Xenopus tropicalis: one gene and its partner. The protein of the gene in region 2 purifies or fractionates together with the protein of the main gene of each other region. This does not show direct contact. Links are inferred from orthologs where the notes say so. Each region holds a gene or a part of one and is shown on either strand. Other genes may lie near its edges.

Region 1 (4,548 bases), on a different chromosome or scaffold from region 2:
TGTTCAGAAAAGACAAAAAATAAACAGGAAGAAAAAAAAAAAAAAAAAAAAAGATACAAGGACAGATATCCCACTGTAACCAAAAATCATTTGTTGCACCCTTCAAATGAAGTATACATTATCTGTGTTTCCAAATGTAGAAACACCACAAAATTGTTGTATAAGTAAGACTAAGTTTATAAATGTTGTTCTGCCCAAGAGTCACCCTTCGATTCTGCATAAGGCTGTGCGAGAGAGCAACTTGCACCCACCAACATGCCTCTTGCCATTTGGTTAAGTGGTTGGAGTATTCTTGGGTGCTCTAGTGCTCATTCCTTAGGCATGTCTGTATTTCCATGATAATTACAAATGTCACTGCATTACCCCTTGGAGGCCAAAGATTAAAAACCATTGAGTTTTATGGTGTCTCTTCAAACAATTCCCTAATGCCAGTAACCGATTCACTGCACACTGTAGGTGTCCTGCTCTCAAAGTTACATCTGCAAACCAGTAGGTTCCTTTAGTATGTTTCCACATGGAGGCATTTTGGGAATGTGTTAGGGATAAAGGGAAAGATTTGCCTCATTACATTCCATTTTGCAGAGCAACATTCTGGTTCTTTTCTCTCACAAATCCCCATCCATTAGAACCTGTCTTTGGTTTGCAGGTTATTGGTGGGGAGCTGAACATATACACAAAAGGGGCAGGGGACCCCTTGCACAGAACAGGTGACCATGATTTACCGGAGTTCCTAAGGGTCCCTCTCCTTTTTCACCTTGACATCCCCTGCCAGGATGGTGGCAATTTCCCCTTGCATGAATGCCCACGGTACATTAGAACCCACTAAGGGGCACTTCTCCCCACTGGGACAGTAGACTTCACCAGTTGCCCCTTGGGCTTTAATGCTGTCACGAGAACAGGGAAAGCAGAATTTGTGGCTGGGCACAGATGGACACTGGACAAAGTGTGTGTCCTCTAGACGCTCATGACAAATGGTGCAGCACAGAGGGCCACTGTTAGCCATGGGGGAATCAGGAATATTCTGGGGATGCACTTGGTCCATTCCAGGATGAGGGGCACCCCCAGCAGGTGCCACTTGAAGACTCAGGTCTGCTGAACCTGCACCATTGCGGGAGTTAAGACGTCTTTGTCCTGTTACCGATGCAGGTGAAACTGGGCTGCTGCTATTTCTGCGGGCTGATGAAGTGGTGGAGTGAACTGGTGGTACACCACCTGTCTGCCCATCCTTGGGGGAGTGGGCAGTGCCCAGAGTGTCTGTAACTGACTGAAGTGCTGCCATAGGAGATGGACCATTTGGAGGTGCACTCTCAGGTGGGGTTGTGCGCTGTGGGTGGCCAGGGCCTAGCGGTGGGGGAGGAACAGAAGGTACACCATAGGCTGCAGATGAAGAAGATGGTGTGCCTCCTGCAGCTGCCATGCTTAGTTGTTTTATACCATCAGGCTGCCCAGTTATCCACATTTGTCCATCGGCTGAGTCTGGTTCTGGGGAGGGTTTGCGTTTCCTTACACCACTTCTGGCCTGCCCACTGCCACCAGCTGATGATGAGGCAGCTGCAGCTGCAGCCAGTGCCCGTGGCAGATTTACAAGTGCGCTGGGCAGCATGGGACACCCAGGGTCAAGGTAGGGTTGGGGTAACATATCGGCCCCTACCATTTCTTTAAAAAAGCGCACAGATTCTGGAAGCAAGTCCCCAAGCAAACGCCAGTCTCCAGAACCATGCTTTTTCTCATATTCCAGGTATTTAAAACCAGATGACAGACCACGACCAAAGTCCTTCATGCAGTCCTGATACATTTGTTTGGCTACACCAGAGGCAGAACTAAACACATTAAGTAAGCCACTGGGATATTCAACAAACAGTTTCAATTCATAATCCAGCAGGCCTGGCTTTGATGCAGCATCAAATGCAAAGACTCTCCCCAGCAAGTTGTGGTCCTTTTTGAAGCGAACATCAAAGGGTGTACAGGCAGATAGAGTGAGCAATGCATCTCTCACTGCTTTAGGCTTCCCTGCCCACTCTTCTGCTCTATTACGTAGGCTCTCTGTCAGTTCAGAAAGAGCCTCACTGTTTCGCTGCTTTTCCTTGAGCTCTCGCTCCTGGTCAGTACTAGATACAGATCCTGGACGCTTGGGGTCACCAGATGAAGAGGCTGTAGGTGGAACACTTAGGCCACTGGAACTTGCAGGACCCCTTCCCAGAACATGAGGAGCTCCTGATGGAGTGCCTGATGGTGGTCCATTAAGAAGGGTCTGGGGTAGAAGATTAGGAGGCACACTCAGCTGCCCTGGCACCAGTTGTGGGATTAGCCCATGACCTGTTCGGCCGCGTGAGTTGGGACTCTGCCTGTTCAGCTCTGGGGGGCCATCCTCCCCTGGCTTGGGGAACCCATTAAGGCCATTGGGAAGCCGAGCAGTTAATGTGTACTCGAAGCGACCTCGATCTGTGGCCAATCCGTATCTCTCCAGCCCAGAGGCAGCTGCTGCCTTAGTAGCCCCATCTAAATGGTTTAGCTGGGCAGTATCTTTTGCTGTGAGGGCTGCCTGCACAGCTGGGTGCTGTTTGTTGGCTGCTCCTGAGCCGGGGCCCTGGGGTCCAGGTGAACGACCATCCTGGAAACTGTGGCTGCGTTTCAGTTGCCGAGCAGTGTCAATGACAAATTCTATTCGATCTGCCCCCTCATAGTTGACACAGCCGCGACAAACTGGCTCAGTGAAGTCCCAGATCATAGCCCATGGCATCCGTGGCAAGTCACACAGGTAACACGACTGGCGGCGTGAGGAGGAGACCTGTGCGGCCGACATGCTGGTGAGCGAAGGCTCAACACAGGGGAGGGGAAGGAATACTCAGCGTGGGGGGAGCATGCGGTGAAGGGTATTGATAGCTCTTTCTGCTCGATCCGGATGCTATTTAGGAGACGCTGGGTGCACAGAAAGCCGGTTAGCACGCTTCTCCGGGCTCTTCGCCTGTCTTTCCGCCGTTCTCCTCTCCGGGCGTGCTCTCTCCGACTGTCGCTCTATCCGCAAGCCGCAGCCCGCCCGGAACGCGCACTCACACGAACGCGCACACTCTGTCACGCAGGATTGGGATTCCGCGAGTGCGTGCGCGTCTCTAAACTGCACCGTAATGACGAAGTCCAAGAATGCCACCTGGCTTTGACGTCACTCCCCCGCCCCCACTGACAAACATGTTGTTGAGTCCCGGGCCTGTCCGCACAACTTCCCCGCCCTCTCTGCTCTTCTGCGCTCTGCACACGTGGTGTTCCTATCACGTGACTCGCTTAGCAGCGGGCTGCTGTGTGAAAATTCTGTTCTGAGGTTGAACAAAATGGTGACACGCAGTGAAATACAAAACAGTGCAAACGGTGACGTGTGAGACTAATAGTTGCCGGCACACTCCTTTGAAATGGAACGCGTGCTAGTAAAAGCGCTTACATGGACAATTCTTTAGGATCGTTGCTTTGTGGCTGCACATAAATAAAGGCTGTGTATTGTATGTGTTTTTGGTTTGAGAGGGGTGAGGTGGGTTATAGACGCGATAACGTTGTCTAGTCATATATATTTTGTAAAGCGTGTGGGCCAAACAGTAGCTAATATAGTAGGCAGCTTAAAGGAACAGGACCACCGGAGAATGAAAGTGTTTCTAAAGAATTACTTTAAAACAGTCGTTTATTTTGGGCTGTTCCTTTAAAGCTGAAATAATTAAACAGAAGCTTTTGAGAGTCTTTTTGGTTGCTGTGTGATGAATATTTTATGCTGCTTTTTTGATGTCTTGTAATCTGCTGTTTTTACCTTATGGTTTTAACAGTATAATTTTATAATAATTAATAAAGGGAACCTTTTGTTATTTTAATGCATCATTGCAGATGTGTCAATTTAAATTGCTTTTTGCTGTGGGAATTCCCCCCCCCCCTGCACCTACTTAATGTGATTTGCACCTAGGCAGGTATTTCACCACCTAGAGCTGGGGCCGATATTACAAATTACAGTGTAGTTGGTGGTAAATTAATAATTTAGTGAATTTACTTCCCAGAGTATTTCACAACTAAACATTGCCTTTTAGGGCAGTGGCACACGGGAAGATTAGTCGCCCAGCTTCTTTGTCGCGGGCAACTAATCTCCCCGCAATGCTATCCCACCGGCTAGAATGTAAATCGCCGGTGGGATGGCATACGCGTCGCTGCAATTTCCGGAAGCCGCCTGAAGTTGCCTTAAGCGAAAACTTTGGGCAACTTCCGGAAATCGCTGCACCACATATGTCATCCCATGGGCAAATTAATTTTCTTGCTGGTGGGATGGCATTGTGAGGAGATTAGTCGCCTGCAGCACCAAAGATTTGTCGTGGGGCGACTAATCTCCCCGTCTGTCACCTCCCTTAAACCTTCCAGCACCTCTCCCACAGCTTTCAGTCCCTGATGATGCACCAATCCTCCCACTTCCCCACCCCCTGATTGCCACAGAACCTCCCAGTCCCTACCTCGTGACATAAGCAATCTGCTCCATAATGTCACCAATCAGCAGCTTCCCCTGCAACCCCACCTCTGAAAAGC
Region 2 (4,526 bases):
GCTACTAGTAGCAGCTACTTTTTTACAGTTACTTAAGGGCAGTGGCACACGGGGAGATTAGTCGCCCCGCAACAAATCTTTATTGCCGCGGGCAACTAATCTCACCGACTAGAATGTAAATCGCTGGTGGGATGGCATACGCATCACTACGGTTTCCCGAAGTCGCCCGAAGGTTCCTTGAGAGGCAACTTTGGGAAATCATAGCAACGCATATGCCACCACACCGGCGATTTATATTCTTGCCCGTGGGATGGCATTGTGGGGAGATTAGTCACCCGCGGCAATGAAGATTTGTTGCAGAGCAACTAATCTCCCCGTATGCCACTGCCTTAACTCCAGAAAATACCTTGCCATAGACAATACTAAGAATTGCCTCTGCTAAAACACACGTAGAGACAATTATCAGTAAATTATCTTATGATGATGTGTTTATGTTATAACTTTAATTTACAGGGACAGATACATTTAAGTTTGAGGTAATAGTGCATGTAACTATTTAACCTGCATATACACCCAAAATTCCATGCAACTGCAGTTTAAACCAACGAGAAATAGGATTAACCCCCCCAGTCTCTGGAGCTATTAAATCACCCAAGCAAATCACCTAGAATCACAACGTGTGCCATTGGCCTTACAGGTTAGTTAAAGGTCAACTAAAGCCCAACTAAATAAAATATTCAATTTAATTGCATGGATGCATAGTGCTTTTGCAATCCCTCCAAAGAACAGCAAGATTTTTCCCCTGAACAGACTTTCCAAGTTCCTCCTTGCAGCCTGCATTCTTAGAATTGATACCATAACAGAAGGCTGTAACCTGAGGCACATCAATTTCATTGTTTTGACAGGCAGCACAACAATTCCATACAGTTTTTACTGCCATACTACCTAAATATAACATTTGGGCCTTTGCTATTGTAATTAGGCTGACTATTCAGTAACTTAAACAGAACTGATGAATTAAATACTCAACACACACAGAAACAAACAAAACCAAATGTCCCCACAGTTTTTCCTACCACCCTGAGACAGGTTACAATTAAGCTAAGTAATCTCCGCCTCTTCAAAAACTATAGGTATAGTGTTGGCTAAAAAAACATAACCATAGGTATTTTTCTACAATAACCCTACTTTTTCATGTTTTTCTGACACTTTTGAAAAAGTTAAATCAGTGTCCTAACTACAGGGCAACTGAAGTTTGGGCTGAAGTTAATCTATCAGGATTGGTTACCAGGAGTTGTAGGAAAGGCTGCAGGTTGCATTTGCCATGACACTAACAAATAAGGACTGTGGGATAAGAGCTGCAGTACTGCTACCTTCTCATACCCTTAGGGCCTGTATTGCCTTGCCCTCAAACCGGCCCTTATGCCAAACCTTCAGGAGTGCCAGGGCAGGGGCCACAGCAGGGATACCGCAAAGCAACATAAATACATGAGCATGTACACTGGTAGCAGATACAGTCTTAAGATAAAATAAATTATCTTCACACAAACAGCAGCAGAGATAGCGACAGAACCATAGTGTGGCCATGGCAGTATGGACATTGGTAAATATATATATTAATTTCCCTTGAGGAAAGATAACTTGGATACACGGAGATGGCAAAAACAACTACAACTGCACTTTAATTAGTTTGTCTTTCTCAAAAGCTAATGCCAAAAGGCACAGCCCCTGAGGCTTACACATTCCCTGTGCGTGTTCCAGGCTGGTAGCCTGTCTTGCCACATAGCAACGGAACCGTGCCGGGTATTGTACATTACTCTACGTGCGCTGCTGGCGGGGCCTGGGACTCACTCAAAATGGAGGCCAGTGGGCAGGCCTGCGCGCCGAGAGACTACACCCGGGATCGGCCCGTAGGCAATGCAATAACAGGGTATGCAGCCTATGTACGCAGCTCCATCTTCCCTGCTTGCTGGGGCTGAAGAGCCATACGTGGATCACAAGATGCTTGCTTCTGAAATGGCGCCCGAGAATTCTAAGCACAGATGACTCGCCTCAGTAGCCATAACAGCAGCAAGAACGCAACCCCATCCCTTGCCCCAGAAAGCTATCACACTTTGCAACACGTCTTCTGATCTCTGTGACCCAAAGGGATCCCTGGGAATTGTAGTTACGGAAGCCCCCAAGCCGCGACTAGTTTCCCTACACAACGTTTCCCCCAGCCAGGCTGCTGTATGCAGGAATGTGCGGCCCCCCGGCTGCTGTTACACTGCAACTCGGAGTGGGGTAGCTGTGGAAGTTGTGCAGCAGCTGGAAATGCGCAGACATTCCTGCCTGCAACACAATCTCACTGGCTTACCCACCGGGGGGCTATTTTAAAGGCGTTTACATCAATGCCGTAAATAGCAGAAAGTCAGCTGGGCGAGCAATCAAATTACATGTAATAATAATGGGGGGCATGCAGGCTTGCGTACACACGGACTGCCCTACAGCAATTCTCCATATGAAGGTTTCAGTGCGGTGGTGAATACACCAGTGCAGTAAATTGTTCGGGAAAGAACTACAATTCTCTGCCTACAGCCCAGCAATGATCTCATTCCCCATCTTATCCTGCCAGGCCGGACTCACCCAAAGCACAAGCACCCCCTCCCCCCCAAATCCAAAAGTGAAAATAAAAGTCTGCCTCCTGCCCCAGCAGCCCTTCCGATCTGCCCTATTCTGCTCATTTCTCTTTACACAGCAGCTCCCTGCTCGCCTCTCTGCCGCTGCCTCACTGTACAGCTCCTCGCCCAAACAACACTTATTACATATAGCCATTTACAGTTTGGCATTTGCCCGCAGCTCTGATCGCTCGGCGAGTTCTAGTGCATACTGCCCAGAAGGGGTGCAAAATGGAAGTTACATACCAGCACTAAATGATCGCAGGATCAAAACTAAAAGTGACGGCTCCAGATCGAAAGCAAAACAAGGAGAGAAAAGTGTGTGTGAGAGAGAGGGCTCAGGCAAGAAGTCTCTCCCCCCTCCCTGCTGATGCTGGATTTGTTTGTTTCGGGTTTACTCAGCACAAGGACAGGGAGGGGAGGGTTTGCTTTCTATAGTGCGGAAGCTTCTCTCTGGCTCCTGCAGCTGCTGCCTTCCCATTGGCCAGGCCGGCCCCAAGCCCAGAGATTCTCAGAATAAGGCAATTTCATTTTCACTTCCCTGTTGCTGCTCTCAGCACAGCGGCGGCAGTTTGCGTGAGGCGGCTGCAAACCTGCCCCTGGCTCTGACAAAGGGCGGACTCTAGCTGCCTAAGCAAATCACCCCATCATTTATAGCTGAAATAGACTTTAATTTCACATTCAGTCAATAACTGTACACAAGTCTGCAGCTCTATTAGCCAGTCAGTATATGTACACAAAATACTCTTTAGCACAGTGTGGAAAACCCAATCAGATTCAACTAGAAATCAATAAGGGTTTTCTTTATCAACGTTAAGGAAATTTGCACCTGCAAAATATTATTAAAACCAATCGCAATTTTGCATTCATTGTTTTACCTGAAGCTGGCTAAGAAAAAGGGATTTGCTAATGGTTGCTATGGGTTACTGTTCCCAGTACTAGTCTGACCAGTGTTTTTCTTTATTGTGTCCTGTTAGTTTGTAGGCCAGTGGCCTAAATATGTAACTGATCTGATTTGGTAACACTGATTTTATTGCTCAGTTCAATATTCAGTTTATCACACTGAAGCTGCAAGGCCTTCCTATTTTGCATCAAAATCTAACTAAATACATTTTCCCTAATGACATGCATTTCCCCTTTCCCACAAGGAGCATTTTATAGTACTTTATTTCTTAGGGTGAATGATGCTGATAATTTCTTATGAAGAATAGTCCCTTCTTTGCCTGGGTGTGTGTAGATGAAATTCTCATATCTTGCCTCCACTAAGTTTCAGAAGTATTAAAATGGAGGATGGCCATTGCCATTGTCCCTGGTCCATGCAATTTTTTTTTCTGTGCTTACCATTAAATCATTTTACCTTTTGTCATTAACCAGAAACAGGTAGTACCACCCTGGATATATTTTTTTCTGGCTACCAATTTCAATCAATCAATTCTAATTACAAAACACATAAAGTTGTAAGATGATACATACCACAAAAATGTGCACAGGCAAAAAGAGACACACAGGTTAGCGGATACACTTGCCAAAGATGAGAATTGCCCCAATGTTTTGGCAAAGAGCCTTTCTCAAGGGAATTGCCTATGCACATTTTTGTGATATGTATTATCTTACAACTTTATGTGTTATTTTCTGTAATTTTGTAATTAAAATTGTTTGTGTGCAAACCCTTATTCTATTTAAAATTATTGTCTTGGGTACCCTATATGGGGGTACAATTTTTGTTTTTTTTTTGCACCAAACACCTATATTGTATTTTTGACTGTGAAGTGAGTGCCCTCCATTTATCTATATTTATTATACCAATTTCTTCATGTACGACCCAGCTTTGCTTCAGATGCAGTTGGCTGCCAGTTGAATTGATGAATTGATAGTTTTTGCAGAATTTTCAGAACTCACATTCCTGCAATGATAGCAAGTTTTCTAGTT

The links.
Region 1: the proteins of irf2 (region 2) and irf2bpl purify together in Homo sapiens (affinity purification with mass spectrometry; 3 studies listed by BioGRID and IntAct, counting the BioPlex papers as one, with this or other methods). This does not show direct contact. The link is inferred for Xenopus tropicalis from reciprocal best matches to the Homo sapiens genes IRF2 and IRF2BPL.

What each region holds. Positions count from the first base shown.
Region 1 is NC_030684.2:82,572,517-82,577,064, reverse strand, and holds the start of irf2bpl (interferon regulatory factor 2-binding protein-like), read right to left. Parts: upstream 3,009-4,548; 5' UTR 2,804-3,008; coding exon 731-2,803; 3' UTR 1-730. UniProt on the Homo sapiens protein: Probable E3 ubiquitin protein ligase involved in the proteasome-mediated ubiquitin-dependent degradation of target proteins. Through the degradation of CTNNB1, functions downstream of FOXF2 to negatively regulate the Wnt signaling pathway.
Region 2 is NC_030677.2:44,876,363-44,880,888, reverse strand, and holds the start of irf2 (interferon regulatory factor 2), read right to left. Parts: upstream 2,908-4,526; 5' UTR 2,844-2,907; intron 2,457-2,843; exon of another isoform or gene 1,792-2,456; intron 1-1,791. UniProt on the Homo sapiens protein: Specifically binds to the upstream regulatory region of type I IFN and IFN-inducible MHC class I genes (the interferon consensus sequence (ICS)) and represses those genes. Also acts as an activator for several genes including H4 and IL7.